Linked DNA regions of Macaca mulatta. The protein of the gene in region 6 interacts with the protein of the main gene of each other region in a biochemical or structural test. Links are inferred from orthologs where the notes say so. Each region holds a gene or a part of one and is shown on either strand. Other genes may lie near its edges.

Region 1 (4,250 bases), about 49 Mb from region 6:
TCAGGAGTTCAACACCAGCCTGGCCAACATGGTGAAATCCCCTCTCTACTAAAAATACAAAAATTAGCTGGGCATGGTGGTGCATGCCTGTAATCCCAGATCCTCCGGAGGCTGAGGCAGGAGAATCACTTGTGCCTGGGAGGCGGAAATTGCAGTGTGCCGAGATGGCGCCACTGCACTCCAGTCTGGGAGACAGAGTGAGACCCTGTCTCAAAGAAAAAAAAAAAAAAAAAAAAATGTGGCTTAAAGGTGCCTTACTTAACAGTGGTATGGCATAGTTCCATTGGCAGCCTTTGTTTTCTTTCTTGGGTAAAATAAAACAATGTAAGTCTATGATTTTTTTAGAGCTGCTATGAAATATATCAATAATAAGGATTATATAGGCCGAACTCTATTGCTTATTCATTTCAATGTATCCAACTTATCAGAATGCCTTCTGACTTCTTGTTAAGAAAATGCAATGAGATGAGAATAGCTTAAGAAAAAATCCTTAGTTCTGGGCTACAAGGGAAAATGAGTTACGACCCCAGTTTAATTACTACAGAAAGCTTTCTCATTTGCCTTCATTGTGATCAGGGTTTGAGTATGATCTTTCTCTATTCTACCTCCCTTACTTCTGTATAGTTATTTCATTAGGCGGCTAGAGGGGTTCTTCGGATCATGGCTAAAAAAGAAAGCAAAAGGTTAAGTCCTAGAGTTAAGCCATTAGGAAAAAAAGTTAAGGCATTAGAAAAAAAATTCAAGAATTAGGCTTTATTTTAAAAATGGAACCAACTGTCAAATTCCTGTGTACCCGTTTAAACTGTCACCAACCTAACACACTGTAAAACTTAATGACTGTAAAATTGGCAGCAGGATCCTGAACACAAGAAGGAATAAAAATAAGTTTGCTAGGCTGTTTTCATCCCAGCGTGATTGAAATACACCGTTTCCTCAAAAAAAAAAAACCTCTAATGAGGGAAGCAGTGAATCAAATGCCACGATTAATGTGCCACTAGAAATAGGAACAAGTAGTTACGGAATGCTTCTTAGGCCAGACACTCTACGATGCGTTCTTTTTTCTTTGTTTCGCTAAAGCTTTTACCAAGCCTTAAAAAGGAGAGGGGTACTAACTGAGCCCTGACCAGACCAGGGAGCCCTACTGTGCAATCTCCTCAGGCCAAGAAGGGCCCGGTACGACCCGCCCATAAGGCCTGGCCGATCAACAGGCGCTGGGCCGACCTTTGGTGGGCTCGCTTCCTGAGGCTGCCCTTGGGCATGCGGAAGGGGACTGGCTGGCGATAACACCCTGGCGAAGCAAGGTGGACACTGGCTCCCGCGCTGTTCGCGCCCGCCTGGCAGGGTAAGCAACTCCACCTCTGTATCCGGGCACCGTCACGTGACGGGAAGAGGGCGTGGCCGAAGCCCGTGATCCTAGGGGCGGGCTGGGCAGTGGGAGGGCGCTAGAATGTGAAGGATCTTGGCGGTTCTGGGTGCCCAGAAAGGCGGCGACGCGGCGGATGACAACATTAGGCCGCGACGCGCTCCTGGTCAGGCGGCGGCTGTAGTGTTAGCTTTGGACTCCGCAGTAGCCGCTGCCGGTAACAAGCCGACTCTGAGGGAAGGTGGGGGTCCGCCCTGTCCGGTGGACCGCGGGGCCGAAAGTACCCGCCCCGCTCGGAGGCTGAGCCAGCAGTGCCTCCGCGGCAGCTGGGCAGCGCCCTCCGTCCGGGCTCGCGCCCCAGCTGCCGCCGACGACAGCGGCCGAGAGAAGTTGGGGTCTGACTAGACGCGTACGGGGCCCCGGACCCCGGCGCCGCCGCGACTCCGGAGGAACCGGCTCCTTGCGTCCCGCCTCCCTGGGAGCTCAGCACGGGTGAGTGTTTGCTCCATTCCTGAGGTGGGGGTGCTGGGTCCGCACCCCTCAGAGCGACTGCGCACCCTTATTGCCACATTCTGAGCTCGGGCTGTCGGGGACTCCTGGCCACCCGCGCCGAGGAGTTCTTTGGCTCCTTTGTTCCATTTTGGAGTAGGGGGATTAGAAAGGCTGGCGGGGTGGAGTGTTTCGGGGCCCACGGTAGGTGCATCTGCAGCCTTACAAAAGCCGCGGCAGGGGAACGGGGGTGGGAGGCTCTTGGAGCATTTCGACTGCCCCGGGTGTCTGTCCCTCCTGAAGTTTGATAGGTCGATGGCATGGGTCTCGTTGGGAGCCCCCGCGCCCAGGAGAGCTGGCGCTTTGTCGCTTGGTGCGGTTAAGACGAGGCTCCTTTTTTCCTGTGACAGCCCCAGAGGAGGCTGTGCCGCGCACCGCAGACCACACCCGCCTTTGCAGAGCCGAGCGACACGGTGTGTTCCCCTAAGCCTCAGTTCTCCCGGCCTTCTTGTAACGTAGGAGGAAAGCCAAGCCTTTGCTGTGCTTTTAAATTTGTTTCTAAGCCCTCTCTCAAGAGTGGAGTCAGGTTCCAAGGAGCTTCACATGCAGCATGCTTTAGGTTCATTGAACCACCCACTCAAGACTGGCTGAGGCGAAGCAACAGTATATGCAGATTTTCCATTCACAAAAGTCATTTAACCCTCTTTATGAGACACATCTGCGTTGCAGAACGTAACCTAATTTCATTTTATTTAAATGCTTTCTGAAATAATAGGTAACTTGTACTAGGTAAACAGATGGGTAAACTTTAACTGATAATGTAAGTATATATGCATTAAATAAAAAATTTAATGATGTTTTTCCCTTTCTGCTGCTGGAAGACTTAAATGACGTCTGAGTAGTAACACAGTGTCTCCTGCATGGCAGTTAAGTTTTTCCCCAAATTAGTGCTGCTTTTGAAATAATCATTTAAAACAGTTTTTGCCTCCCTTTGTATCTAGAGAGAGCAAGAATTGTGGAGAATCGTGGGTGAATTGATTGTTAGATTTTGCTAATTTTCTAGGGTTTCATCTAAACTTGCTCATGCTGAGAGGCTATGATCAGTTTCTATGCTTGCTAGAACCTGTTTTGCAGTGAAATTATTAAGATCATGCTAGTTTTATAAAATAGGTTGGAAAAGGAAGAGTAAGGCCATGCGGTTTAAAACTGTTCTCTATGAAAGTACAACTAATTTCAAATGTTTGTAACTTATTTTTTTTCGATATTAACCATTTATGGAGTGACTATAATATGCCTGTTCAAAGAGCTGAGAAAGGGAATAGATGAAACTTAAGCTACCTTTTGGGTCTTTAATTATGGACATCAAGGTATTGCGGTCACATTCCATGTCAACCGTTTGAACAGCAATACCGTGTACACAGGTGCTTAGAAATGCCTGTTTAATTAAAAATGGCCATGGTTTATTTCTCTTTGATTGGATCATAATAGTTATTGAATCTCTGATCTGTGGAAAGATGCTACTATATTTTCCAGTTAGAATGTTATTGCATTTTAAAGGCAGTCAAATATGTTTTTTATAACACATTCAGGGTACTTATACATTTGTTAATATTCAGTTTCTTGGTTCATTTAAAAATTGAAAGGTTTAGACTACACTTTGGGGATACATTTACAATTGTGTATAATGAAGTTATGTTTTAGTTTGTTTTAAGAAAAATGATGAAATTATGAATTTGTAAAATATGCATTACAAAAGAAATTTTATTTTTATTTTTTTAGACAGAGTCTCACTCTGTTTCCCAGGCTGGAGTGCAGTGGTGCAACTTGGCTCACTGCAGCCTCTGCCTCCTGGATTCAAGATATTCTTATGTGTCAGCCTCCTGAGTAGCTGGGATTACAGGTGCGCGCCACCATGCCAGGCTAATTTTTGTATTTTTATTAGAGATGGGGTTTCACCATGTTGGCCAGGCTGGTCTCCAACTCCTGGCCTCAAGATCCATCTGCCTAGCCTCCCAGAGTGCTGGTATTACAGGCATGAGCCACTGTGCCTAGCGGATCTTTCGTTTAAAAGTATGAATTGCAGAATTTTAACCAGTGTTAGTACATTTCAACTTGCTTTGGTTTGTAAATAATCCTTCAAAAGCAGATTTCTTGAATTGAGGCATTAAAGACAAAGAATTGATACAGTACATAGATTTAGTTTTCTGATATTAATTTGGAAAACTTTAATCCTAATAACAATACCTGAAATGTCATGTTGTAATGTTGGTATTATATCGAAAGTTAAAAACATTTATAGCAATGTTCTTGGAGCATCAGGCAATTCAAAGAGGAATAGGTCCTGTCTTAATGTTACAAATAATGAACTGCAAATAAGACAAACACAACTTGAATAAAA
Region 2 (4,138 bases), on a different chromosome or scaffold from region 6:
ACTACTCACTGTGTGTTTTCCTGGAAAAGGACTTTAACCTTTTTGTGTCCCAGTTTCCTCATCTGTAAAATAGGGATAATTGTATCTGTGTTAAAATAGGGATAATTGTATCTGTGAGTTTGTGTGTATGAAGTACTGAGAACAGTTCCTGCCATATGGTAAGACTGTCTCTACATTTACTAATTAGTAGTCTCTTCTCATTTGTCTTATGATGGCTGTTTGTGTATGCATTGCCATAAACCCCCTTTCTGCTACATTTTTGGTTCATGAATATCTTTGAGAGTTATAAACTGACTTCACTGCACTTTATTTAGTGACTTTATTTTGAAAGTTCACAGATTTTCCCCTGACTCGTAGTAGCAGGTTTTACTGTTTTAAATATAAAATCAACTTTATTTAAGCATGTCTTGGAAATGCATATGTGGGCACGAAGGGAGCAGACTGCATAGGCTGATAGATTGGGCTTTAAAGCTCTTTGGAGGTTTCTCCTTTCCAGCTGAATATTGTCTCAATTCCTTATCATGGCATATAAGGCCCTCCGTAACCCAGTTCTGTCTGTGCTTTCATCTCACTTGTCTTTGTGGTTGCTCCAGACCCTGTGCTGCAGCCCCATTATATTCAAACTGGGTATGTGGTTGTGCTGAAGGTTACTCTTTAAGTCTGTGGCCTAGTTTGCTTCTACTGAAGAATGGACTTACACCTGTAATCCCAGCACTTTGGGAGGCCAAGGCAGGAGGATCTCTTGAGCTCAGGAGTTAGAGACCAGCCTGAGCAACATGGCAAAACCCCGTCTCTACAAAAAATACAAATAAAAAATTAGCCAGGTGTGGTAGTGCATGCCTGTAGTCCCAGCTACTTGGGAGGCTGAGGCGGGAGGATCACTTGAGCCCAGGAGGTCAAGGCTGTAGTGAGCTGTAATCATGCCACTGCACTCCAACCTGGGTGACGGAGAAAGACCCTGTCAAAAAAACCAAAACCTTTGTCTAATTCTGAAGCTCAGTGCTCTTAACCTCTATGCTGAATCATGGAAAAGAATAAAGTCATAAGGATAGGGAAGTATTTGGGGACACTGAACTGAAAGAAGCTCTGGCACTTCTCAGCTGAAGAAATAGTTATAGACAGTGAGGTTGCCAGTTGACTTTTCTTGTGGAGTCAGAGGCCTCAAGGAAACTGTGTGGAGTTTTAATTGAGAATGCTTGGTCAGAGTTTACTAATTCTTGGTTATTTTTAGTGTCTCGATTTCCACTGCCTGTTGTACCTTCTCTTTGTTTTTTTTCTGGGGAATCTTTTTCGCAAATAAAAACCTGTTCCAACTAACCCTATTTTCTTTTTTGGACAGGATCCTGGGGCATCCTTTGGCAGCCGATTGTACCCTGCACTAGAGAGAAGTCCAGGAATGATATATTCTTGGGCTGTATTTCTCTACCCTGGAATTCATCCAGTTCATCCCAGAAACACTGACCTGGTTACTGTGACAAAGTCTGATGGATAGACCCTTTCTGTTGACCTTGCGGCGTTTTTCTTTCATGTGGAAGTTGGAAGACAAGGTGAAAGGGGCCAAAAGTGACCTGCCTTGGTGAATAGGAGTGCTCTACTTGGTTCTCAGAACATGGGCCCTCGTTTAAAGGTAAGGTAATAGACTGAGTTGAGCTTTAGTTATTGGGATGTAGAACATGGATCCAGTGAGCAGTTCCTAAGCCTTTTCAGCAAGGGATAGCTGTTGAAGTATACAATTGCAGTGAGAATTGACTTTGTCCCCAGCAGAGCATTTTTAAATATGAAGAAACCAGTTCTCCATTTTTGGGAAACGACTTTTTCACAACTGATATTCAATGTTAGGGCTAAAATTTAGTTGCTATTGTAATTAAAAATCTTTATGCTCCGAAAAAGCAGAGGATTTTAAAATATGTATGTTAATCAACTTTCTAACAGTCCCTTGAGACAGATATTTTCAAGTCTTTTTCCCCTTTTGTAGGTAATGTGAGCCAAAATGCTATAGTATTAAGCAACCAGACCAGGATCCTTCGTAAGCAAGTGATATTTCTGCACTAGAGAATTGGCATTGCATTCCACTTTTCTTTGTCATGCTTTATTTATATTTCAAAAGATTAAAAAAAGAGCCATAAGAGTTTATCTTTCTAATTTTAGCTTTGCTTTGAGATTCCTCACAGTAAGATTGGATAGTGTTTCTCATACTTTGTTTTACCTGTTTTCGTAAATCTTTTTTTCCCCAAATACTTCACTATCCTTATGACTTTATTCTTTTTCATGATTCACTGTAGAGGTTAAGAGCATTGAGCTTCAGAGTTAGACACAGGCTTTTGCTTTTTTTTTTTTTTTTTTTTTTTGGAGACTGGGTCTTTCTCTGTCTCCAGGCTGGAGTTCTGTAGCACAATCATGGCTCACTGCAGCCTTGACCTCCTGGTCTCAAGCAGTCCTCCCGCCTCAGCCTCCCAAGTAGCTGGGACTACAGGCGTGCACTATGACATCCTGACTAATTTTTTATTTGTATTTTTTGTAGAGACGGGGTTTTGCCATGTTGCTCAGGCTGGTTCCGAACTCTTGAGCTCAAGTGATCCTCCTGCCTTGGCTTCCCAAAGTGCTGGGATTACAGGTATGAGCCACCATGCCCTGTTAGGCTTTCCAGCCAGGCTTGAATCTCAACTCTGTCACTTATCCCAATGTGAGATATTCAGCAACTTTAAGCCCAGCTTAAAAAAAAAAAATCCATAAAACGAGAATGATAGTATTCATCTTACCAAGTTGTTGTGGTGACAGTTACTTAGGCTAACATATGTAAAGCACTGAAGGCAATGTTCGGCCTGTGATATGTGACTCGATAAGCAGATAGAAAGTTGTTAATTTACTACTGTCACATTTTTCTTCTAGCTTAAAGTATCACAGTATGCCATATTTATAAAGGTCAAGGACACTAAAGAGAGGAACTTGAAAACACACAAAATACTCATAACAATTGGATGAAATAGTACAGTAGAGCCTTATATACTTGTTTGTGCTGGAATTAGACTTGGGAAAGTTCCAAAATAATTTCATACAGAAAAATATGAATAGCAAAAAGTAAAGGGTGCCGTAGAAACTGCTGTAGAAAAATACCATGCATGGGAATCTGCAACCCCAGTGGTGGGCATTTGATACCTGCTCGTTGAACTGAATTAAATTGGCAACTTTTAGGTTGAGGAACTTATAAACGGCTCAAGTGAGTACACTGTTAATTAGAGAAATCCTTTCAAGCTCTGTCTACAAGGAAGATCCCATCTGGAAAATTCCTGATCCTTAGGCATTCTGGACAAAGAAAAGGACAGACATTTGATCTTATTCATATTTATTGAAGTTACTATATGCAATTATGTTGGTTTCTTTGGAGCATTTTTTTTGGAGACAGGGTCTCACTCTGTTGCCCAGGTTGGAGTGCAGTGGTGCCACCAGGGCTCACTGCAGCCTCAACCTCCTGGGCTCAAGAAATCCTCCTGCCTCAAGCCCCCTCCCTGCCTCCAGTAGCTGGATATAGGTGTGCACTAGTATGCCCAGCTAATTTGTTTTCAAATTTTAGTAGAGATGAGGTCCCACTGGTCTCAAACTCCTGAGCTCAAGTGATCTTCCCGCCTTAGCCTCCCAAAGTGCTGGGATTACAGACATGAGCCACCATGCCCAGCCTGGAGGATTTTTAAGACTACTCATAACCACTCTAAAATGAAAAAACGAGACTAAAAGAATAAAAGTGCTAGGCCGAGCATGATGGCTCACACCTGTAATCCCAGCACTTTGGGAGGCTAAGGTGGGCGGATCACCTGAGGTCAGGAGTTTGAGACCAGCCTGACCAACATGGAGAAACCCCATCTCTACTAAAAATACAAAATTAGCTGGGCGTGGTAGTGCATGCCTGTAATCCCAGGTACTTGGGAGGCTGAGGCAGGAGAATCGCTTGAACCTTGGAGGCAGAGGTTGCAGTGAGCCGAGATGGTGCCATTGCACTCCAGCCTGGGCAACAAGAGTGAAACTCCGTCCCAAAAAAAAAAAAAAAAAAAAGAATAAAAGTGCTATAAGATAAATAAAAACAATGTTCTATGGAAATTCACAAGAGGAAAGGAATTTCTAAATTTAGTATTAGGGAAGATTT
Region 3 (4,059 bases), on a different chromosome or scaffold from region 6:
AGTCTGCAAAAACCCAACTCTGTGAGAAAGACAAGGAAGAAGGAAGATGATGGCAGAATAGATCTACAATCCTAAGGATCACCTGCTAGTAGGAAACAACTTAAAACAGGTTGGGCAGAATGTTTACAGTATCAACTTCAAGCAGCTGAAAGGTAAAGCATTTGGAACCAGGTGGTTCTGGCATGGAGAGATGGGCGCGCCATAACCTCCACAAAAGCTATCAACAGAATTACTACAGGGCCTTGATAGACACCTGGTTATTATTCAGAGATTATGCACACAATCTTACGGACTTTGCAGTCAGATGTCTATGTAAACACGTTGGACACAAAAATTAGCAAGCAAGGTGTAATTGCGGGCGGGAGGAAAATTCCCTTACAAACTTCAGTTGACTGACCCCTTCACCTGTTCTTTATCTTAATATCCTCGTTATTCGCTCTCAGCTGAGAAGCATTACTTGCTATTTCAGGTGGAGCTGATGGGCACATCGTGAGGGGCCCTCTTCCGTAAAAACGAGGCGATGTTAGGCAAACACTCTTTACTCCGCCATTTCTAGTTACGTCAAGGATCTTACTGCTCCAGGACGGAGGACCTCCAAGGTAATCAGGGTAGCGATAATCACCGATACAGTTAAGCGGGGCCCTGGGATGATGCACTCTCAGACCCCGTGGGGAGTGGCCCTTGCGCCCAAAAGAGAGCAACGGAGTAGGCCCGGCCCGGCACTCCAGTTGACTCCCTGCTTCCCCCACCCCAAAAGCCTGAGCGCGGAAGAGGGGGAACACCAAAGAAACCCGCACCAATTCCCTGACCCTGCCCTGGGGAAAAATGGCGAAGCCCAGGGGCGGGGGACAGGACGGCACGAGTGACCCGGCGCTCGCCGGGCCTCGGAGCCCCTGGAGTTTGTCGCGGTGGGCGACGCCGCGCAACTGCTACCCGTTCGTTGCCTCCGCCATCTTCTCTTACTCACCCGGACTCCCCCCGCGGCCGCGCTGGCTTCGCGTTTCCCTTCCGGCCGCTGACAGAGATCCGGGCTGGGCGGGGTGGGCGAGCGCGCGGAGGGGGTGGACCGAGGGCGGGGAGGCCGGACGGAAGAGGAAAGGGAGGGCGGCGAGCCAGTCACGGCGGGGTGTGGAGCGTGCAGCGTGTGTGCGGAGGGAGAGGTGGGGGGCGGAGAAGAGGCGAGGGAGGGAGGGAGGCGGAGGAATGAGAGCGCGCGGCGCCTCTCGGCCGCTCCTAAGCCCGGGCGGAAAGAGCCGAGCGCAGCCCGAGCGCTCTGTTAAAATGGCGGCGGCGTCGGCGGTGGCCGCGGCGTCTGGTCGGTGAAGTGACTCTGCTGCTTCTCTCCCCACCCGCCCCCTCCCTCCCTCTCCCCTTCCCCCGTCCTTCCCCTCCTTCCCCGCCGCCGGCGCCTCCGCGCCCCTCCGGCCTGCGCACCTCCCCTCGCTCCCCTCCTTTCCCCCGCCCGCTGCGGGGACCGCCGGCCCCCTCCCCCATTCTCTTGCTCCCCGCCCCGTCCCCGCCGCCGCCCGCCCTCGTCGCCTCCCCGCCCCGCCGGCCGGCCAGCCCCCTCCTCCGCCTCTCTCCCCTCCCCCCCGCCGGTCGGGATCAGTCAGTGTGATCCGAAGCGGGGGAGGGGGGGGGCGGCGGCCGAACGATGTGCGAGAACTGCGCAGACCTGGTGGAGGTGTTAAATGAAAGTAAGTAGCCGCGGTAGCGGCCTGTCGGGGTGCACGGTTTGGGGTCCTCGCGCAGCTCTCTGGCTTCCCCGGGCTGCCGCGGCCTGCGGGAGGGGACGGCCGGGCTGGGCGGCGTGCGGGCCTAGCGCCCTGGGAAGGTGCGCGGTGGCGCGGCCGCCGCGGCGCCTCGGGCCCAACCCGGCTGGGTTACCTGGGCGCCCGAGAGGCGGCCGCCGCGGAGCTCCGGCCCGGCCGGGCCCGGGTGCTCTGGGCTCTCGGAAAGTTTTCTCATTACAGGTGTCAATTAATGAAGGCAGTAATGAGACCCTTGCCGCCTTCACCCCTTTCGCCCCCTTCGCCCTGCCAGGAAGGTGCGGGGAGGTGGGGTCGGAGGACGAGGCTTTCCTCCGCAGTCCAAGCCCTCCGGCAGCCCTCTTTGATTTCCAGCGTGCTGCCAAGGCCTCTCTTACCTGTTAATTTTCATTAAACTCCCCGGGAGCAGGGTGGTGGTTTTTCCCTCCCTTGCGGGTGTGTGGGTGTCTTAAACACTTCAGCCAGACCTTAAATAGCTGAAAACGAACTGTGATAGTGATGACTGGAACCTTCATACCTATTTTAAAAATAAATTTGTTAATGATGCTTCTTAGTGTAGCATTCACCGCTTTAATGGTAAATTCTGTTAGGCAGAGCACTGTGCTACACATACCATCCCGGGATAGTTATGGCCTATCTCTCCTGGAAGGAAAGGCCTTTTACCTGATACTTTACTTTCTATTAAAGAGGGTACGTTGATCTTTTCTGGCCTTTTTATTTTATATTTCGACCCTTGCAAGATGGTATTTCAGCTTATAGAAGATATATGTCAAATCACCTACTTCTGGGCCTAAAGGCCTGGTTGGCAAAGGTGAATTAGATGGATCAATTTACAAAAAGTTGGTTGTTGAAAAAATGCTCACTTATGAACAGTTTATGTGGGTTTTGGATTTGTATTCTGTTTGTGATATTTCCACAGATAGACTTTCATACTATCTAATTTTGTAATACAATTCACTCGATTTATAAAATATATCATGGTGTTTGTGTTTGAATTTTACTTTGTGTTTGAATGTCACTTGAATGACCAAAGACAACAATAAAAGTGGAAGGGTTCTAACTCAATTTCAACTCCGTATTTACTTCCTGATAGATGGAATAGGCTTTTGCACATATTCCAACTATTGGTTCCGGTATTTGTGTCACCCTAAATTATCCTAGAATTTTAAGATTATTTGTGTGTATTTTGAGATATTTTTATTTCTGGTGCAGGTGGTTTACGATATGATAAATCTTCAATACTTACTGTATTTTATATATCAGATACAAGTTGTGTGATGATGTTTGTTATGCTCAACTTGGAAAGTTAATAGCTTTGCAATGTAATATGAGGAACAAGTACTTAATTTCGTTGGTGATTTTAAATATATATATATTTTTCCCCCGAGACAGAGTTTTGCTCTTGTTGCCCAGGCTGGAGGGCAATGGCAGGATCTTGGCTCACTGCAACCTCTGCCTCCCAGGTTGAAGCGATTCTCCTGCCTAAGCCTCCCGTGTAGCTGGGAATACAGGTTCCCCCCACCATGCCCGGCTGATTTTCGTATTTTTAGTAGAGATGGGGTTTCACCATGTTGGTCAGGCTGGTCTCGAACTCCTAACCTTGTTACCTGCCTGCCTCGGCCTCCCAAAGCGCTGGGAATACCGGCGTGAGCCACTGAGCCTGGCTGATTTTAAAATATCTTAAACTTGGAAAATTTTAAACAAAACATCTGAAGAAAGTAAAGTTTATTTTTTGAAAACAGGTGGCATCTTGATCATAATGAAAGGTCTTATTTAAGATTATCTGGGAAACCCCTAGAACTTTGGTTAGAAGCACTGAAAAATGCAATGCATTTATGGAGAGTTAGCAATGTGGAGAATTGAGACAGAATTTAGCTTTTATTACCTTTAAGCAAATACAGTTAGTTCAACCGGGTTCACAAAATCTGGTCATGTGCACCCTCTAAGAAACCTGTTTTAATGAATAAGTAAGGATTTTCTATTTGTGTGTAAGCCAGTGCACTCTAAAAATACATAATTTCTTAATATTGCCTTTGAGGCTCAATATAAAAATTTAACTCTTAAACAATAATCTCTCAGTGATGCTTCCTTTTTAAAAAAATTTACAGCCGGGGGCAGTGGCTCTTGCCTGTAATCCCAGCAATTTTCGAGGCCGAGATTGGCGGATCACCTGAGTTTGGGAGTTCAAGACCAGCCTACTAACATGGAGAAACTCCGTCTCTACTAAAAATATAGAATTAGCCTGGCATAGTGGCACATGCCTGTAATCCCAGCTACTTGGGAGGCTGAG
Region 4 (4,264 bases), on a different chromosome or scaffold from region 6:
TCGACTCCACCTGGCTCCCCAAAGTATTTAAAATGGTAGCCACGGGAATAGCAGAGTACTCTCTTTCAACTGAGTAAGAATATCAAATGAGGTTAATAAGCCGGGCGCAGTGACTCACACCTGTAATCCCAACACTTTGGGAGGCCAAGGCAGGCGGATCACCACGTCAGGAGTTCGAGACCAGCCTGACAAACACGGTGAAACCCTGTCTCCACTAAAAATACAAAAATTAGCCAGGCGTGGTGGTACGTGACTGTAATCCCCAGCTACTTGAGAGGCTGAGGCAGAAGAATCGCTTGAACCTGGGAGGCGGAGGTTGCAGTAAGCCGAGATCGCGCCACTGCACTCCAGCCTGGGCGACAGAGGGAGACTCCATCTCAAAAAAAAAAAAGTTTTAGTGGGTCTGTCATGATTCGCAAATGTAGAAACCTGATGATTTTCCAATGCCTAGTTCTAGCCTCCAAAGACAGCCCCCAGTGGGTCATTATTATACACAAAGATGGCCTGAAGATGAATACAAAGCCATTCATTCATTCATTCATTCATTCATTCATTCATTCACGCATGCCTGTATTCTGCAAACATTTATCAAGGCCTACCACAAGCCAGGCACTAGGCTGGAGGCTAGGAGCATAAAGATGAATAAGACACAGTTCCAGGCCGGGCACAGTGGCTTATGTCTGTAATTCCAGCACTTTGGGAGGCCGAGGCAGGCAGATAACTTGAGGTCAGGAGTTCGAGACCAGCCTGGCCAACATAGTGAAACCCCCATCTCTACTAAAAAATACAAAAATTAGCTGGGCTTGGTGGCGGGCGCCTGTAATCCCAGCTATTGGGCTGAGGCACGAGAATCGCCTGAACTCGGTATGGGGAGGTTGCAGTGAGCTGAGATGGCGCCACTGCACTCCAGCCTGGGCGAGACAGCGAGTCTCCTCAAAAGCAACAACAACAATAACAAAGACAAATGAAGTTAATATTTCACAGTGGGCTAGACACAGTTACACAGACTTTATACAGGCGGCAATCAAGCGTCCTGGACTTCAAGAAATCTACTTTGTCTGTCGCGCCACGCAGCCAACTGGAGTGTCACTGTGGGTTCTATTTACACCGTTATGAGAAAAACCTATGGCCAAGGAAAACTCGGTATCTCGGGTCGCAAACCGCCCATCTACGGCAGCGAGCGTACCCAAACGCCACACGGCGAAGTCCCGCTGGATGCAGGAAACTCCGAAGAGGTCGGGGACCAGGAGTGCCTATGGCGCGAGGGAGGCTGGGAATTGTAGTCTCCGCCTGCCTCCGAGGGCGGGGTCAGGGGGCGGGGCTCTCAGGCCATGTGGGTGGATGGGTCGCCGAGCGCCCCCGGCTCGCCCCGGCGTTTCCGGTCGCGGGTGGCCTCTGGAGGAGGAGGGGCGCCGCGGCCGACGCGCGCGAGGCGGTCTGGGAAAAAGGGCGGTGCGAGCGGGTGCGCGCGCAGCGGGCCGGCAGTGGCGGCGGAGATGGAGGAGGGAGGCCGGGACAAGGCGCCGGTGCAGCCCCAGCAGCCCCCAGCGGCGGCCCCCGGCGGCACGGACGAGAAGCCAAGCGGCAAGGAGCGGCGGGATGCTGGGGACAAGGACAAAGAACAGGAGCTGGTGAGGCGCGACCCCAAGAGCCGGCGGAGGAGGCCGCGGGGCTGAGTCACGGCGGCTCCACAGGCCTCAGGCCCGACACCCAACGACCCCACCGCACCAGGGAGAGGGCGGTTGGGGCGACCCTCGGGACTCCCGGCACCCTGCCTCTCTGCTCCTCATTCTCCGTTCCGCGCTGTCACCTCCGCCGTCTCCACCAACCCTCACCACCGCCGCGTGAGGTGGACTCGGGCGGGTCATTGTCACCTCCGTTTCCTAGAGTGGCTTTCAAGTAGAGCCTCGTTCAGAACCCAGGCTGATTTCCCACCAGAGCTTCCTATTCCCACTGTTTCCTTGCCCACCTGGCCCCTCCTAAGAAGGCAGGCTTATTCTCCACCTGCCCCGGGTAAGTGGGAGGAGGACGTCTTTGGGATTCCTTCTCTTAATGAGCTGCTTCTCCCAACCCTCCAGTCTGAGGAGGACAAACAGCTTCAAGATGAACTGGAGATGCTCGTGGAACGACTGGGGGTGAGTCACGATGTTAACACGATTCGGACATGTTTGGATCTTTCCCACTTGTTTGTTTTATTCTGTTTTGAGGCAACTGCTGTGTGCGGTGGACTGTATTTTAGAGTCAGTGTTATGATGATGTTGGGAGGCAGGAGAGTTACAAAGGGTATTCGTGCAGTTTTGCAGCTTTCTCTTGTGGGAGAAGCAGAGTTCTTAACTCTTAACTTGGGTCATTTGTTTTTGTGCCAGGCAGGGTGCAGGGAGTTGAGGAATCACAGATGAATGAATAAGACACGGCTATTTCCTTGGAGGAGTTGTTAAGTTAAATATCTCTGTATTATGACTTGAAGGGGTGTGACTCCTTTTTGTCTGAGCCCTGTCTTCTCTTGATCAGGAGAAGGACACATCCCTGTATCGACCAGCGCTGGAGGAATTGCGAAGGCAAATTCGTTCTTCTACAACTTCCATGACTTCAGTGCCCAAGCCTCTCAAATTTCTGCGTCCACACTATGGCAAACTGAAGGAAATCTATGAGAACATGGCCCCTGGGGAGAATAAGGTAAAACAGTTTCAAACCTGGTGGAGGCCTAGTTTAGGAATTCCTTTTTACCCAGACCATGGGGGGGCTCATTGTGAGTCACAGGCAGCCTGATAGACCTAAGCCCTGATCTATTTGAGCAGAGTTCATCACAGTCAAAATATCCATAAAAGAGCTGAAAGGAAAATCAACTTCTCAGAAGACACCGTTTCTGTTATTTGTGTTGGACTTTGGGGTTTCATTATAATGGTTTATTTTTAACTTATGTTTAATCTTGGTTTTTCTCTTTCCTTCTATCCCATGCACATTCATTTATCTCTAAAATATGTTCCACATTCAGTCACTTCTGTGCTTGCTGGTACAACCCTCATCCTGGAAATGTTCAGTTTTCGCATGGGCTATTGCAGCACCGCTTAACTGATGTTGCTTTTGTCCTTTGTTCCTACACAGTCTGTCTCTTATGTAGCAGCTATTGTGATCTTTCTCAGTTATGGGTCTTTTCTGCTTAAAACCTTTTAATCGTTTATAATTGCCATTAAAGTAAAATTGAGAGCCTCCATTTTTCTCCACATTATCCCTTGTTTATCACCCTTCAGCTGTGTTAGTTTAAAAGGAAGATAGTGGCTGGGTGTGGTGGCTCACACCTGTAACCCTAGCACTTTGGGAGGCCGAGGGGTGGATCACCTGAGGTCAGGAGTTTGAGACCAGCCTGGCCAACATGGTGAAACCCTGTCTCTACTAAAAATACAAAAAAAAAAAAAAATTAACTGCGTGTGGTGGTGGGCACCTGTAATCCCAGCTACTCAGGAGACTGAGGCAGGAGAATTGCTTGAACCCTGGAGGCAGAGGTTGCAGTGAGCCGAGCGCACCATTGCACTCCATTACTCCATCCTGAGAGCGAAACTGCATCTCAAAAAAAAAAAAAAAAAAAAAATGGAGATAGCAACACCAACCTTGGTTTTTGTGAGGTTTAGCTTAGATAACGTGTTAAATTTCTAGTACAGAGATTGGTATATAGTTAATAGTTAAATTTTGGAGATAACGATCTTGATTCCACAAGGCATGTTCCCTTTATGCTGGACTGTTGGGTTTGACTTCAAAGGACTGTTTTCTTTATAGCGTTTTGCTGCTGACATCATCTCTGTTTTGGCCATGACCATGAGTGGGGAGCGCGAGTGCCTCAAGTATCGGCTAGTGGGCTCCCAGGAGGAATTGGCATCATGGGGTCATGAGTATGTCAGGTAAGATCTTTCTTCTTGGGAATCTGAAGGGGGCCTCTGAGGCTCTGAGATAATTCAGAATTCTCTTGTGGAGAACCATCTGTCTTGGAGTATCAGTGTATTGAATTTCCCAGACACTGGATTCCTTGACCCACAGAGAAGTGCTTCCCCTGAAGCTGTGCTCCCTTAATCGTCTGGGCGTATCTGTAGGCATCTGGCAGGAGAAGTGGCTAAGGAGTGGCAGGAGCTGGATGACGCGGAGAAGGTCCAGCGGGAGCCACTGCTCACTCTGGTGAAGGAAATTGTCCCCTACAACATGGCCCACAATGCAGAGCATGAGGCCTGTGACCTGCTTATGGAAATTGAGCAGGTGGACATGCTCGAGAAGG
Region 5 (3,500 bases), on a different chromosome or scaffold from region 6:
CCGGGAGGTGGAGATTGCAGTGAGCTGAGATTGTGCCATTGCACTCCAGCCCAGGCAACAGTGTGAGACTGTCTCAAAAAAAAAAAAAAAAAGAATTGTGTTTTGGTTTTGTTGCTGTTTTAACTCTGGAACGTTTTCATCTCTTGAACTCAGGCTTGGTCACAGGGTTTCCCAGGAGGTGTGGATGTAAGCGAAGTCAAAGAAGTATACCTCGACCTGCTTAAGAAAGGCGTTCAGTTTCCTCCCTCAGAAGCAGAGGCTGAAACAGCAAGACAAGAGGTAAGAGGCCTTTCTTTGACCCATGGAGAGTATAGTAGTATATCAGTTGGGTCTTTTCTCATTGCAAGAGACAACCCCAAATCCACTTAAGCTTAAGCAAAAAGATGAATTTATTAGAAGGATATTGCAATATCTCATAGAATAACCGAGACTTGGGATTTTGCTACTTAAAGTGTGAAAGTTTGTTTGGCTTGCTCCACCCTAGACTAATCAGAACCTCCCTTTTTACAAGATTTCCAGGTGTTTTCTCTGTACATTTATGTTGAGAAGCACTGGCCTAGAGCCTTGAGCTTTCACCTCGCCGCCCAAGGTTGGAGATGTGGCATTGACCCAAGGAGGGTCATTGATGGAGAAGGAGATGCCTTGTCAGCTGTGGCTTAAACAGACTTGACATGAATTGAGCTATCATTTGTTATTAACAGTCCAAAGAGAAGGCATCAATAATCTCACATGGCAGTTTATCACTTAAACCCTTGGTAAAAAAAAAAAAAAAAAAAAAAAGGCATTTTATTAAATTGTAAATGATAATTCTAATAGCCACCTCTTGTTGAATACCTGCTTTATTATGGGCATCTCATTTGCTTAGCATTCTTCACAAAATGCTGGACGGGTTGTGTAGTTGATGATTTACTCCGGGCAGATACCCTGTACACAGGACTTTGTTTGAGAGTGCTTGAGTTAGCTGAATGGAAAAAACTTGGCGTTGGGTGGCTATGTTAATTCACATAATAATATTACCATATTTTATACTCATAGACTGCTCAAATCTCATCAAATCCTCCAACATCTGTCCCTACTGCACCAGCTCTTTCTTCTGTAATTGCTCCAAAGAACTCGACTATTACATTGGTCCCAGAACAGGTAACAACAGCAATCACTGTATTTATTGATATGTTTTCCTGATTTGTAAGCACCTTATATACAGTTTGTCCTTTCTGGTTAACAACATTGAGATGTAGGTACATTTATTTTACAGAGGAAGAGACTGAGGCTTAGTCATACTATGTGACTTATAGTTCAGTTCCAAGAAGGATTAATCCCATTGGTTCTGTCTACTTCCAAAGCCCAACTTTGTAAGAGTTGTGCTTGCCTAGTGGCTTTCATGGCTTTGTGGAGCCTTGACTGTGGACTGGATCTAGTGTCCATGAGCTAATTCCTGTTACTTCTGGTAGGACTGTCACATATTTCAGAGAGTTTTGTAAATGGTAGTCTTATTACTTGTATTTATTATGCCAACTGAATTGTATTTACTTCTTTGTGTATATCAGTTTGTCCAAGGTACAGATAAGCAATTATTGTATGAAGCCCATTTCCGTTCCGCTGTAAAGGAACTATAATTGAAGACTTTGTATTATTATTTTTTTCTTATATAAAAATTCATGTGACTAATTCCTCTTAGAATTTAATACAGGAAAAAGATTTATTTCTTCTTTCTTCTTTAATACCATGAGAACTAGATAACCCTCATTTGTTTTTCTTTTATCCTGTCGGTTGCCAAGAAACTCAGGATAACTTTTGCCATTTTATCCAGGTTTCTGGTACCTCCTTCTGCTAGGTACCTAGTACTTCTCCCCTCTTCATATTTGGTTCTAACCTTTTTTTTTTTCTTTCATTTTTAAAATTCCTAAAGCATATTTTGGGGTTTATTACAAGAGATCTCAAGTCCTTTTAGAAGGTGACAAGGTATACATTGTAAAATAACTATGTGTATATTTATATGAAATTAAATTTAAGTTTGAAAATATTAAATTTTGCAGAAGTATTTTTTCTTCCAGCAAATGTCCCATGGGGGCAGGAAACAAGGAATGTGAACACATTCTCTGTGTGCCACACTGACTGGTGATTGTGTTGCTCTCTACAGATTGGAAAATTGCACAGTGAATTGGATATGGTGAAAATGAATGTGCGAGTGATGTCCGCCATATTGATGGAGAATACGCCTGGGTCTGAAAACCATGAAGACATAGAGCTTCTGCAGGTGTTGTACGATTTCAGGGACAATCAGTCAAAGTGTCTCTTAAAGTTATTCTCTAAATTCTGAGCTTTGGAGATGGAAGACACCTTAATATTGTCTAGTACGTCCTCCTACATCCTCATTTCAATTGATTTCTAAACTTAACAAAAATATCCAAGAATGACTTTGTCAGAAATGCGGTAGTGACTTAGACGTGGATTTTAGCCTCTTGCAACAAATAATTTATTGTAAGTTATAACCTTGGTCATGTATAATCAATTCTCTAGTTGTTTTAAGTATGTAAAAATTGCCTCTATTTTCATCCATTCAACAAACATTGAGTAACTGTGATATAGGAAGGGATGTAGAAATGAGGAGGAGGCTGTTCTAGTCCTTAAGAATTTATGCCTAATGAGCAAGATTGGTTTGTAAACAACAAACATAAAGAAGTATTATAGATACTGTAATATAAATTTGTTCAGTGTATGGTGGGATCATGGGTGGGCAGAAGGAGAGAGGTGAGGTTTTTAGGAATGGTCTAGATGGAGGCAGTGCTTGAGCTGTAGAGGAACAAGTAGACAGGGCATTTGGACCTGCATGAGTAGTTCTACAGCCCTCCTATGCCTTCTGCTATGTCTGTGTATACATATACTTTATTTTTCCCTCTACTGGTTTGCTGTTCTAATTATTTAAAATTTTAAAACTTATTAATTTTAGAAGCAGTTAGAAAAAAAATCAGTTTCTAGTTTCTAAGTCCCTTTGTTGCTAAACTAAGAAGCTTAAGATATTTTTACTTTCCTCAGATTCCCACTCCCCACTTCTCATGTGTTATTTTTCCTTTAACTTCTTAGATTGTTAGTAAATAACTTTTCCCATGCTCATTTCTTATTTGGGAAACAAAAAAAATTTTAAAAATTTTCCCAACAATGTTTCTTATATATCACTGCTATCGTGAATAGTTTGTTTTTTCCTTGCTGAAGTACACCCATGTTGGTAAACTTTGGTGCAAACTTTGAGTGCTTGCATATCCAAAAATGTCCTTTGATTGTCATGTTAAATGCAGATTAGTTTAGCTAGATATAAAATTCTAGGCACAAAATTCTTGTTCTTCAGGCCTTTGAAGATACTGCTTCATTGTTCTTTTACACCCACTAATGCTGATAGAAGTATTATATTATTCTGCTTCTTAATCCTTTGATTTATATTTTTTTCTAGTTGCATTTGTTATTTCTCTACTTTAATATTTCAGAAATTTTACTGTTCCCTA
Region 6 (3,869 bases):
AAGAAAGCCCCGTCATTATCTCAAATGTGACCCAAAAATAAAGACCCGTCCGTCTCGCGGGGTGGGCCAGGGCGGGTCGCGAGGGAGGGGAGGGAGACCCCGACTCTGCGGGAGGGGCTCCGTCCGCGCCCCACGTCCGCCGAACGCGGGGTTCGCGACCCGAGGGGACCGCGGGGGCTGAGGGGAGGGGCCGCGGCTGAGGAACGCGGGCTGCCCACCCGCTCCTGGCGCCGCAGAGTCCGCACCGGGTTTTGGCGCCTCCCGCGGACGCCCCCTCCTCTCGGCGAGCGCCTCCACGTCATGGCCGCAGGGCGCAGCGAGCGCCCTGATTCTTCCGCTTGGGCGCTCAGGACGGCGGCCCGCTGCCCACCAGACTCAGTCCCAGAACCCCAGTCTCAGCAGGAGGACATTTTGGGACGGGACTTGGGTGACTGTAGGGCACTGGTTTTCTTTCCAGAGACCGGAACGGGCGAGCAAAAGTAGTCCCTTCTCGGCGATTCTGCGGAGGAATTTCCTTGGGGCGGTGAACGCCGATGACTATATAAGGACGCGCCGGGTGTGGCGCAGCTAGTTCCGTCGCAGCCGGGAGTGGGATCGCAGTTCTTGTTTGTGTGTCGGTGTCATCGCCACTTGGTGAGCAGAGGGCTGCTGGGCCGGCCATGGCTTTCGTGGCCGCTGGGCCGCTCGGTGGGATGGAGGGGGGCCGACGCCGCGGGATGAGAGGCCGCCGAGGGCTGTAGTCTGGGTCCGCGAGCAAGGTGCCCCTGAGCAGCGGGTGGGAGGGGAGCGCAGCAAAATGGCGGCTGTTCCCGGCTCTTGAATGGAAGACGGTTGTGAGGCGGGCTGTGAGGTTGTTGAAACAAGGTGGGGGGCATGGTTTGCGGCAAGAACCCAAGGCCTTGAGGTTTTCGCTAATGCGGGAACGCTCTTATTCTGGTGAGGTGGGCTGGGGCACCATTTGGGGACCTTGATGTGAAGTCTGTCACTGACCGGAGAACTCGCTTTGTCGTCTGTTGCGGGGGCGGCAGTTAATGGCGGTGCCACTTGGCAGTGCACCCGTAGCTTGAGGAGCGCGCGCCCTCGCAGTGTCGTGACGTCATCCGTTCTGTTGGCTCATAATGTGGGGTGGGGCCACCTGCCGGTAGGTGTGCAGTAGGCTTTTCTTCGTCGCAGGACGCAGGGTTGGGGCCTAGGGTAGGCCCTCCTGAGTCGACAGGGGCCTGACCTCTGGTGAGGGGAGGGATAAGTGAGGCGTCAGTTTCTTTGGTCAGTTCTATGTTCCTATTTTCTTAAGTAGCTGAAGTCTGAGTTTTAAACTATGCGTTCGGGGTTGGCGAGTGTATTTTGTGAAGTTTCTTAGGTATCTTTTAAATTGTAATCATTTGGGTGAATATAACATATAGTTTAAGTATTAGGAAGATTAGTACATTGTCTGCTAAATGGTGGTGGTTTTTGGCTCTTTTGTTAGACAATGCAGATCTTCGTGAAGACCCTGACTGGCAAGACCATCACCCTTGAGGTTGAGCCCAGTGACACCATTGAGAATGTCAAGGCAAAGATCCAAGATAAGGAAGGCATTCCTCCCGACCAGCAGAGGCTGATCTTTGCCGGAAAGCAGCTGGAAGATGGGCGCACCCTGTCTGACTACAACATCCAGAAAGAGTCCACCCTGCACCTCGTGCTCCGCCTCAGAGGTGGGATGCAGATCTTCGTGAAGACCCTGACTGGCAAGACCATCACCCTCGAGGTCGAGCCCAGTGACACCATCGAGAACGTCAAAGCAAAGATCCAAGACAAGGAAGGCATCCCTCCTGACCAGCAGAGGTTGATCTTTGCCGGGAAACAGCTGGAAGATGGACGCACCCTGTCTGACTACAACATCCAGAAAGAGTCTACCCTGCACCTGGTGCTCCGCCTCAGAGGTGGGATGCAGATCTTCGTGAAGACCCTCACTGGCAAGACCATCACCCTCGAGGTGGAGCCCAGTGACACCATCGAGAATGTCAAGGCAAAGATCCAGGACAAGGAAGGCATTCCTCCTGACCAGCAGAGGTTGATCTTTGCCGGAAAGCAGCTGGAAGATGGGCGCACCCTGTCTGACTACAACATCCAGAAAGAGTCCACCCTGCACCTGGTGCTCCGTCTCAGAGGTGGGATGCAGATCTTCGTGAAGACCCTCACTGGCAAGACCATCACCCTTGAGGTGGAGCCCAGTGACACTATTGAAAATGTCAAGGCAAAGATCCAGGACAAGGAGGGCATCCCTCCTGACCAGCAGAGGTTGATCTTTGCTGGAAAGCAGCTGGAAGATGGGCGCACCCTGTCTGACTACAACATCCAGAAAGAGTCCACCCTGCACCTCGTGCTCCGTCTCAGAGGTGGGATGCAGATCTTCGTGAAGACCCTGACTGGCAAGACCATCACCCTCGAGGTGGAGCCCAGTGACACTATTGAAAATGTCAAGGCAAAGATCCAGGACAAGGAGGGCATCCCTCCTGACCAGCAGAGGTTGATCTTTGCTGGAAAGCAGCTGGAAGATGGGCGCACCCTGTCTGACTACAACATCCAGAAAGAGTCCACCCTGCACCTCGTGCTCCGTCTCAGAGGTGGGATGCAGATCTTCGTGAAGACCCTGACTGGCAAGACCATCACCCTCGAGGTGGAGCCCAGCGACACCATTGAGAATGTCAAGGCAAAGATCCAGGATAAGGAAGGCATCCCTCCTGACCAGCAGAGGTTGATCTTTGCTGGGAAACAGCTGGAAGATGGACGCACCCTGTCTGACTACAACATCCAGAAAGAGTCCACCCTGCACCTGGTGCTCCGCCTCAGAGGTGGGATGCAGATCTTCGTGAAGACCCTCACTGGCAAGACCATCACCCTTGAGGTGGAGCCCAGCGACACCATTGAGAATGTCAAGGCAAAGATCCAGGACAAGGAAGGCATCCCTCCTGACCAGCAGAGGTTGATCTTTGCTGGGAAACAGCTGGAAGATGGGCGCACCCTGTCTGACTACAACATCCAGAAAGAGTCCACCCTGCACCTGGTGCTCCGCCTCAGAGGTGGGATGCAGATCTTCGTGAAGACCCTCACTGGCAAGACCATCACCCTTGAGGTGGAGCCCAGCGACACCATTGAGAATGTCAAGGCAAAGATCCAGGACAAGGAAGGCATCCCTCCTGACCAGCAGAGGTTGATCTTTGCTGGGAAACAGCTGGAAGATGGACGCACCCTGTCTGACTACAACATCCAGAAAGAGTCCACTCTGCACTTGGTCCTGCGCTTGAGGGGGGGTGTCTAAGTTTCCCCTTTTAAGGTTTCAACAAATTTCATTGCACTTTTCTTTCAATAAAGTTGTTGCATTCCCAACTGGTGTGGTTTTTTAAAAGTTAAGGTTATTTTGCATTAGACTGGGTGAAGGGGATCAAGGTTTTCAGTTTACAAATGTTGCTGTGGTAACAGTGAAATGTCAGTGAAGGGGTTGACCTTAATATAGTACGAACTGTAGAAGGTGGGTGCAAATAAAAGCCGGCTTCAAGACCAGATTGGCCAATGTGGTGAAACCCTATGTCTACTGCAAATACAAAAAGGCAGGTGTGAGTGTCTGTGATTCCAGCTACATGGGAGGGTGAAGGAGAATCCCTTGAACCAATTAAGCGGAGGTTGCTGTGATCTGAGTGCCACTGTCCTCCCGCTGGGGGAACAGCAAGACAAAAAAGTTGTTGGGAGATGGAAGTATTTTACATATGTAGATTTAACTCTTAAGTTAACTTTAAAAATACTGGTTTGTGGGTGATGTGTGAGGTAAGAGAATGGGAGAATTACCGGAACACCAGGAAGAAGGAATTTTAAAAGGTGGGAGTGGTGGG
Region 7 (3,500 bases), on a different chromosome or scaffold from region 6:
ACCGTGCCTGGCCCCATTTATTTTAATAACATTCTGGGGAGTTTTGTCCTGGGCTGTGTTAATTACGGATTTCTATTTATTGAACTGTGTGCTTATTTATGGATAAAATTTTAAGTAGCTATATGATGATTTTAATTTTAGGAAAAACTTCAACCAAATTTTAAGAAATTTGGCACTGGTTTAAAGTGAATTTTTTTTTTCTGTGTGTTTTGTTTTTAACCACCTGGGTAGAAGGACTTGCCTCCCCACATTGAGAGTTACTGCCATAGTAAGCAGTCGTTACTGATTGGCGTGTGTTATATGTCCCTTAGGTTTACTAGAACAGAAAAGTGGTTTCAAGCCCTTTTGCCATTTTAAAGTTTGGAATCCGAGAAACTATTGTAGTTTCTACTCTGTTAGTACCTCTGTATGTGAGCTATAGCAACCAACTCAAGGGAGAGGAACCTGACTTTAATGCCTGCTGTGTGTTGGGCCTGTGCCAGACACTTTATATTTACTCTGAAGCAACACAGTGCAGCAAGTGTTACTCCCATTTGATCAATAAGAAACCCAGGATTCCAGTGGCTTCAGGTAGCTTGTTTGAAGTCTCACAGCCAGTATATGATGGAATTGCACTACTCAACTAGGTCTCTTTTACTTAAGTCTGTGCTCTTCCTATTAGACCAGTAGTTTTTCAAACTTATGTAGGAGCTTTAGGGCTTCTGAGTTAAGTTCCTTGAAGATTTCTGAACAAGCAGTAGGAAGTTTCCCGGTTTTTTCCTTTCTTTTTCCTCTCCCGGCAACTGGAGCAGCTATAGTTTTTATATATATATCAGATTCCAACTGGGATTTTCATTTGAAGAAGGGTTTATGCCATCTTTAGAATAAAACAAAAAAATGGAAAAGCTTTGAAAATGTAAGCAGTTTTAACTCATAAGTATTGATGGATTAGTTATTTGTGAAAGTCACTTAATTGAATACCTCATTTTTCAATGATGCCATATAAGCAGGATGCTAAGTCTCTCTCTTTCTCTCTTTCTTTCTTTTTCTTTCTTTCTTTCTCTCTCTCTCTCTTCATTTTTCTTTTTCTTTCTTTCTTTCTTTCCTTCTGACTTTCTTTCTGTCTTTCCTTCTATCTTTCTTGACAGAGTCTCACCCAGGCTGTAGTGCAGTGGCACAGTCTTGGCTCACTGCTACCTCCACCTCCCAGGTTCAATTGATTCTCATGCCTCACTTTCCCCAGTAGCTGGGACTACAGACACGAGCCACCACACCCAGCTAATTTTTGTATTTTTAATCGAGATGGGGTTTTGCCATGTTGACCAGGCTGGTCACGAACTCCTGACCTCAGGTGATCCGCCCACCTCAGCCTCCCAAAGTGCTGTCATTACAGGCATGAGTTACTGTGCCCAGCCGAAGTCTTTTATTTTTAACTCAAGCTACTAAACGTCCTTCTTTCCAAAAGTCTGGTTTCAAAGACTAAATGGTTAAAAGTTCAGGGAACGAATCTTTTATTCATAATTCAGCTAGCTGCATTTCAGGCACAAAGTGGATGTTCAGTGTGTGCTTGTTGAATTAATATCTAGTGGGGATTTTTTTTAGTACCAGATAAAAGTAGAAAAATAGGCTATTTTGAAAATGAATATCTTTTTATCTATAGTTAAAATATAATGGTGATAAATGTATTTTATAGATAATATAGATTGCCTTTCAGGATAAAAATTACATAAATCTAATTGCCAATTTTTTATGTTTTTTCAAGATTTTTATTGAAGGATGGCCAACTGTGGCTATGTGCTCCTCAGGCAAAACAAATATGGAAATGCTTAGCTGAGAATGCAGTTTACCTTTGTGATCGTGAAGCCTGTTTTAAGTGGTATTCCAAATTGATGGGGGATGAACCAGACTTAGATCCTGATATTAATAAGGACTTCTTTGAAAGTAATGTGCTTCAGCTTGATCCTTCTCTGTTAACTGAAAATGGAATGAAGTGTTTTGAGCGATTCTTCAAAGCTGTGAATTGTCGAGAAGGAAAACTAGTAGCAAAAAGGAGAGCCTATATGATGGATGACTTGGAGTTAATAGGATTAGATTACCTTTGGAGGGTAAGTCAAAAGTAGGAACTCTGTAAACAGTGTCTGATGTACTTTTTCATATACATAAGGAATTATAATTTCACATATAAATTGTGTATTTTACTGTGATGTTTGTCTCAGGAATTTGGTGTAGTTAGTAATTGTTCATTTTTATTATTATATCACTTGTCAGTGGGCTTTTTCTTCTCTCTTCCTCTCCCTCCTCCTGCCACTGATGTTCCTTTTGTCTTAGCTTAGTATCTGTGTATTCCATAGATGTGCACTAAACATACAAATCTTCCATTCCTCCCCGTGGATATTGTTCCTTCCCAATTTTTCATTCAGTGTCGATCTGTTTCCTCCTCTTCAATGTTTAACGCTAAAATAGAGGACAGAAGAGAGGATTTGTGTTTAGTATAGATTATGAGTATATACTTTATTGGCACTGTTTACCTTGTGATATTTTTAAATAGCTGGGGGAATAAAATACTATCTTTTTAAGGCTAATCTTTCTATTTTTATAGTACTAGTGTATTATTCCTATCTTTAAAAGTCTGACCTGTTATACAGCAGTTTATATTGTTGTTTGGATGTCTGAAATTTTTTCCTGCAAACCATAGATGAAGATGTTTACTGTGGCATTTGAGTATTTAAAAGCTTTTCATTAAGTATGTGGTTTTTCAACATTGTTTTAACAGCAGAAACACATCTTAAAAATCAAAATTTGCACCACTCTACAAAATGTATACTGAATTGAACAAAAAAATATATTTTCTTACTTGGTCTCCCCATGCTTACCCCCTTTCCCCTCCCCAACCCTTTTATAGGGGCCAACACTGAAAGACTTCCTCAAAGTCCTCTAAGGTTCTGAACATAGTTTGGAAACCACTAATGTAATTAGATGAGTGATAAAGATTTATAGAAACTGGGGGTAGAGTAGTCCTTTATGCTAAACTGTGTTTCATGTAATCTCTTATTTCCTGTCAACTAATTTGAATTTCTTCTTGAGTGTCTGACTTGGTTATCAAGATATTAAATTATAGGGTTAAATAATAGTGGTCAAAGCATATTTTATTTTTACAAAAATGTACCTTTCATTCTTAAACAAATTACTTTTTTCGGAGACTTTCATTTTGCATTTATTATCCTTTCTTTTGGTCTGTGCTTCTCACTTAATTTTACTTGATTATCAAAGTCAACTTACCATTAAATAATTGAATAGTGTATTTAAGATAACTGAGGATATGGTTTGAATTTAAATGCCCAAAAAAATATATGTTGAAAGGGGTGAATACTTTTATCATTTTGAAACCAGGTCGTGATTCAGAGTAATGATGATATTGCCAGCAGAGCTATAGATCTCCTCAAAGAGATATACACAAACCTTGGTCCAAGACTACAAGTCAATCAGGTGAGGATTGATGTGCATTAAAACTTCCATATATC

Evidence for each region.
Region 1: the proteins of UBC (region 6) and OSBPL8 form a complex in vitro, tested with the Homo sapiens proteins (2 studies listed by BioGRID). The link is inferred for Macaca mulatta from reciprocal best matches to the Homo sapiens genes UBC and OSBPL8.
Region 2: of the proteins of UBC (region 6) and AREL1, one has a biochemical effect on the other in vitro, tested with the Homo sapiens proteins (3 studies listed by BioGRID). The link is inferred for Macaca mulatta from reciprocal best matches to the Homo sapiens genes UBC and AREL1.
Region 3: the proteins of UBC (region 6) and USP34 form a complex in vitro, tested with the Homo sapiens proteins (2 studies listed by BioGRID, with this or other methods). The link is inferred for Macaca mulatta from reciprocal best matches to the Homo sapiens genes UBC and USP34.
Region 4: the proteins of UBC (region 6) and PSMD2 form a complex in vitro, tested with the Homo sapiens proteins (2 studies listed by BioGRID). The link is inferred for Macaca mulatta from reciprocal best matches to the Homo sapiens genes UBC and PSMD2.
Region 5: the proteins of UBC (region 6) and TOM1L1 form a complex in vitro, tested with the Homo sapiens proteins (2 studies listed by BioGRID). The link is inferred for Macaca mulatta from reciprocal best matches to the Homo sapiens genes UBC and TOM1L1.
Region 7: the proteins of UBC (region 6) and USP9X form a complex in vitro, tested with the Homo sapiens proteins (5 studies listed by BioGRID, with this or other methods). The link is inferred for Macaca mulatta from reciprocal best matches to the Homo sapiens genes UBC and USP9X.

What each region holds. Positions count from the first base shown.
Region 1 is NC_133416.1:83,717,976-83,722,225, reverse strand, and holds the start of OSBPL8 (oxysterol-binding protein-related protein 8), read left to right. Parts: upstream 1-1,450; 5' UTR 1,451-1,855; intron 1,856-4,250. UniProt on the Homo sapiens protein: Lipid transporter involved in lipid countertransport between the endoplasmic reticulum and the plasma membrane: specifically exchanges phosphatidylserine with phosphatidylinositol 4-phosphate (PI4P), delivering phosphatidylserine to the plasma membrane in exchange for PI4P, which is degraded by the SAC1/SACM1L phosphatase in the endoplasmic reticulum.
Region 2 is NC_133412.1:147,882,481-147,886,618, reverse strand, and holds the start of AREL1 (apoptosis-resistant E3 ubiquitin protein ligase 1), read left to right. Parts: upstream 1-1,338; 5' UTR 1,339-1,627; intron 1,628-2,521; exon of another isoform or gene 2,522-2,614; intron 2,615-4,138. UniProt on the Homo sapiens protein: E3 ubiquitin-protein ligase that catalyzes 'Lys-11'- or 'Lys-33'-linked polyubiquitin chains, with some preference for 'Lys-33' linkages.
Region 3 is NC_133418.1:63,290,838-63,294,896, forward strand, and holds the start of USP34 (ubiquitin carboxyl-terminal hydrolase 34), read left to right. Parts: upstream 1-1,259; 5' UTR 1,260-1,654; coding exon 1,655-1,697; intron 1,698-4,059. UniProt on the Homo sapiens protein: Ubiquitin hydrolase that can remove conjugated ubiquitin from AXIN1 and AXIN2, thereby acting as a regulator of Wnt signaling pathway.
Region 4 is NC_133407.1:96,437,907-96,442,170, forward strand, and holds the start of PSMD2 (26S proteasome non-ATPase regulatory subunit 2), read left to right. Parts: upstream 1-1,464; 5' UTR 1,465-1,496; coding exon 1,497-1,631; intron 1,632-2,078; coding exon 2,079-2,135; intron 2,136-2,511; coding exon 2,512-2,676; intron 2,677-3,774; coding exon 3,775-3,896; intron 3,897-4,085; coding exon 4,086-4,264. UniProt on the Homo sapiens protein: Component of the 26S proteasome, a multiprotein complex involved in the ATP-dependent degradation of ubiquitinated proteins.
Region 5 is NC_133421.1:55,050,356-55,053,855, reverse strand, and holds part of TOM1L1 (TOM1-like protein 1), read left to right. Parts: intron 1-153; coding exon 154-279; intron 280-1,035; coding exon 1,036-1,140; intron 1,141-2,140; coding exon 2,141-2,257; intron 2,258-3,500. UniProt on the Homo sapiens protein: Probable adapter protein involved in signaling pathways. Interacts with the SH2 and SH3 domains of various signaling proteins when it is phosphorylated. May promote FYN activation, possibly by disrupting intramolecular SH3-dependent interactions.
Region 6 is NC_133416.1:132,362,011-132,365,879, reverse strand, and holds UBC (polyubiquitin-C), read left to right. Parts: upstream 1-1,471; coding exon 1,472-3,301; 3' UTR 3,302-3,369; downstream 3,370-3,869.
Region 7 is NC_133426.1:41,047,346-41,050,845, forward strand, and holds part of USP9X (ubiquitin carboxyl-terminal hydrolase 9X), read left to right. Parts: intron 1-1,741; coding exon 1,742-2,084; intron 2,085-3,369; coding exon 3,370-3,465; intron 3,466-3,500.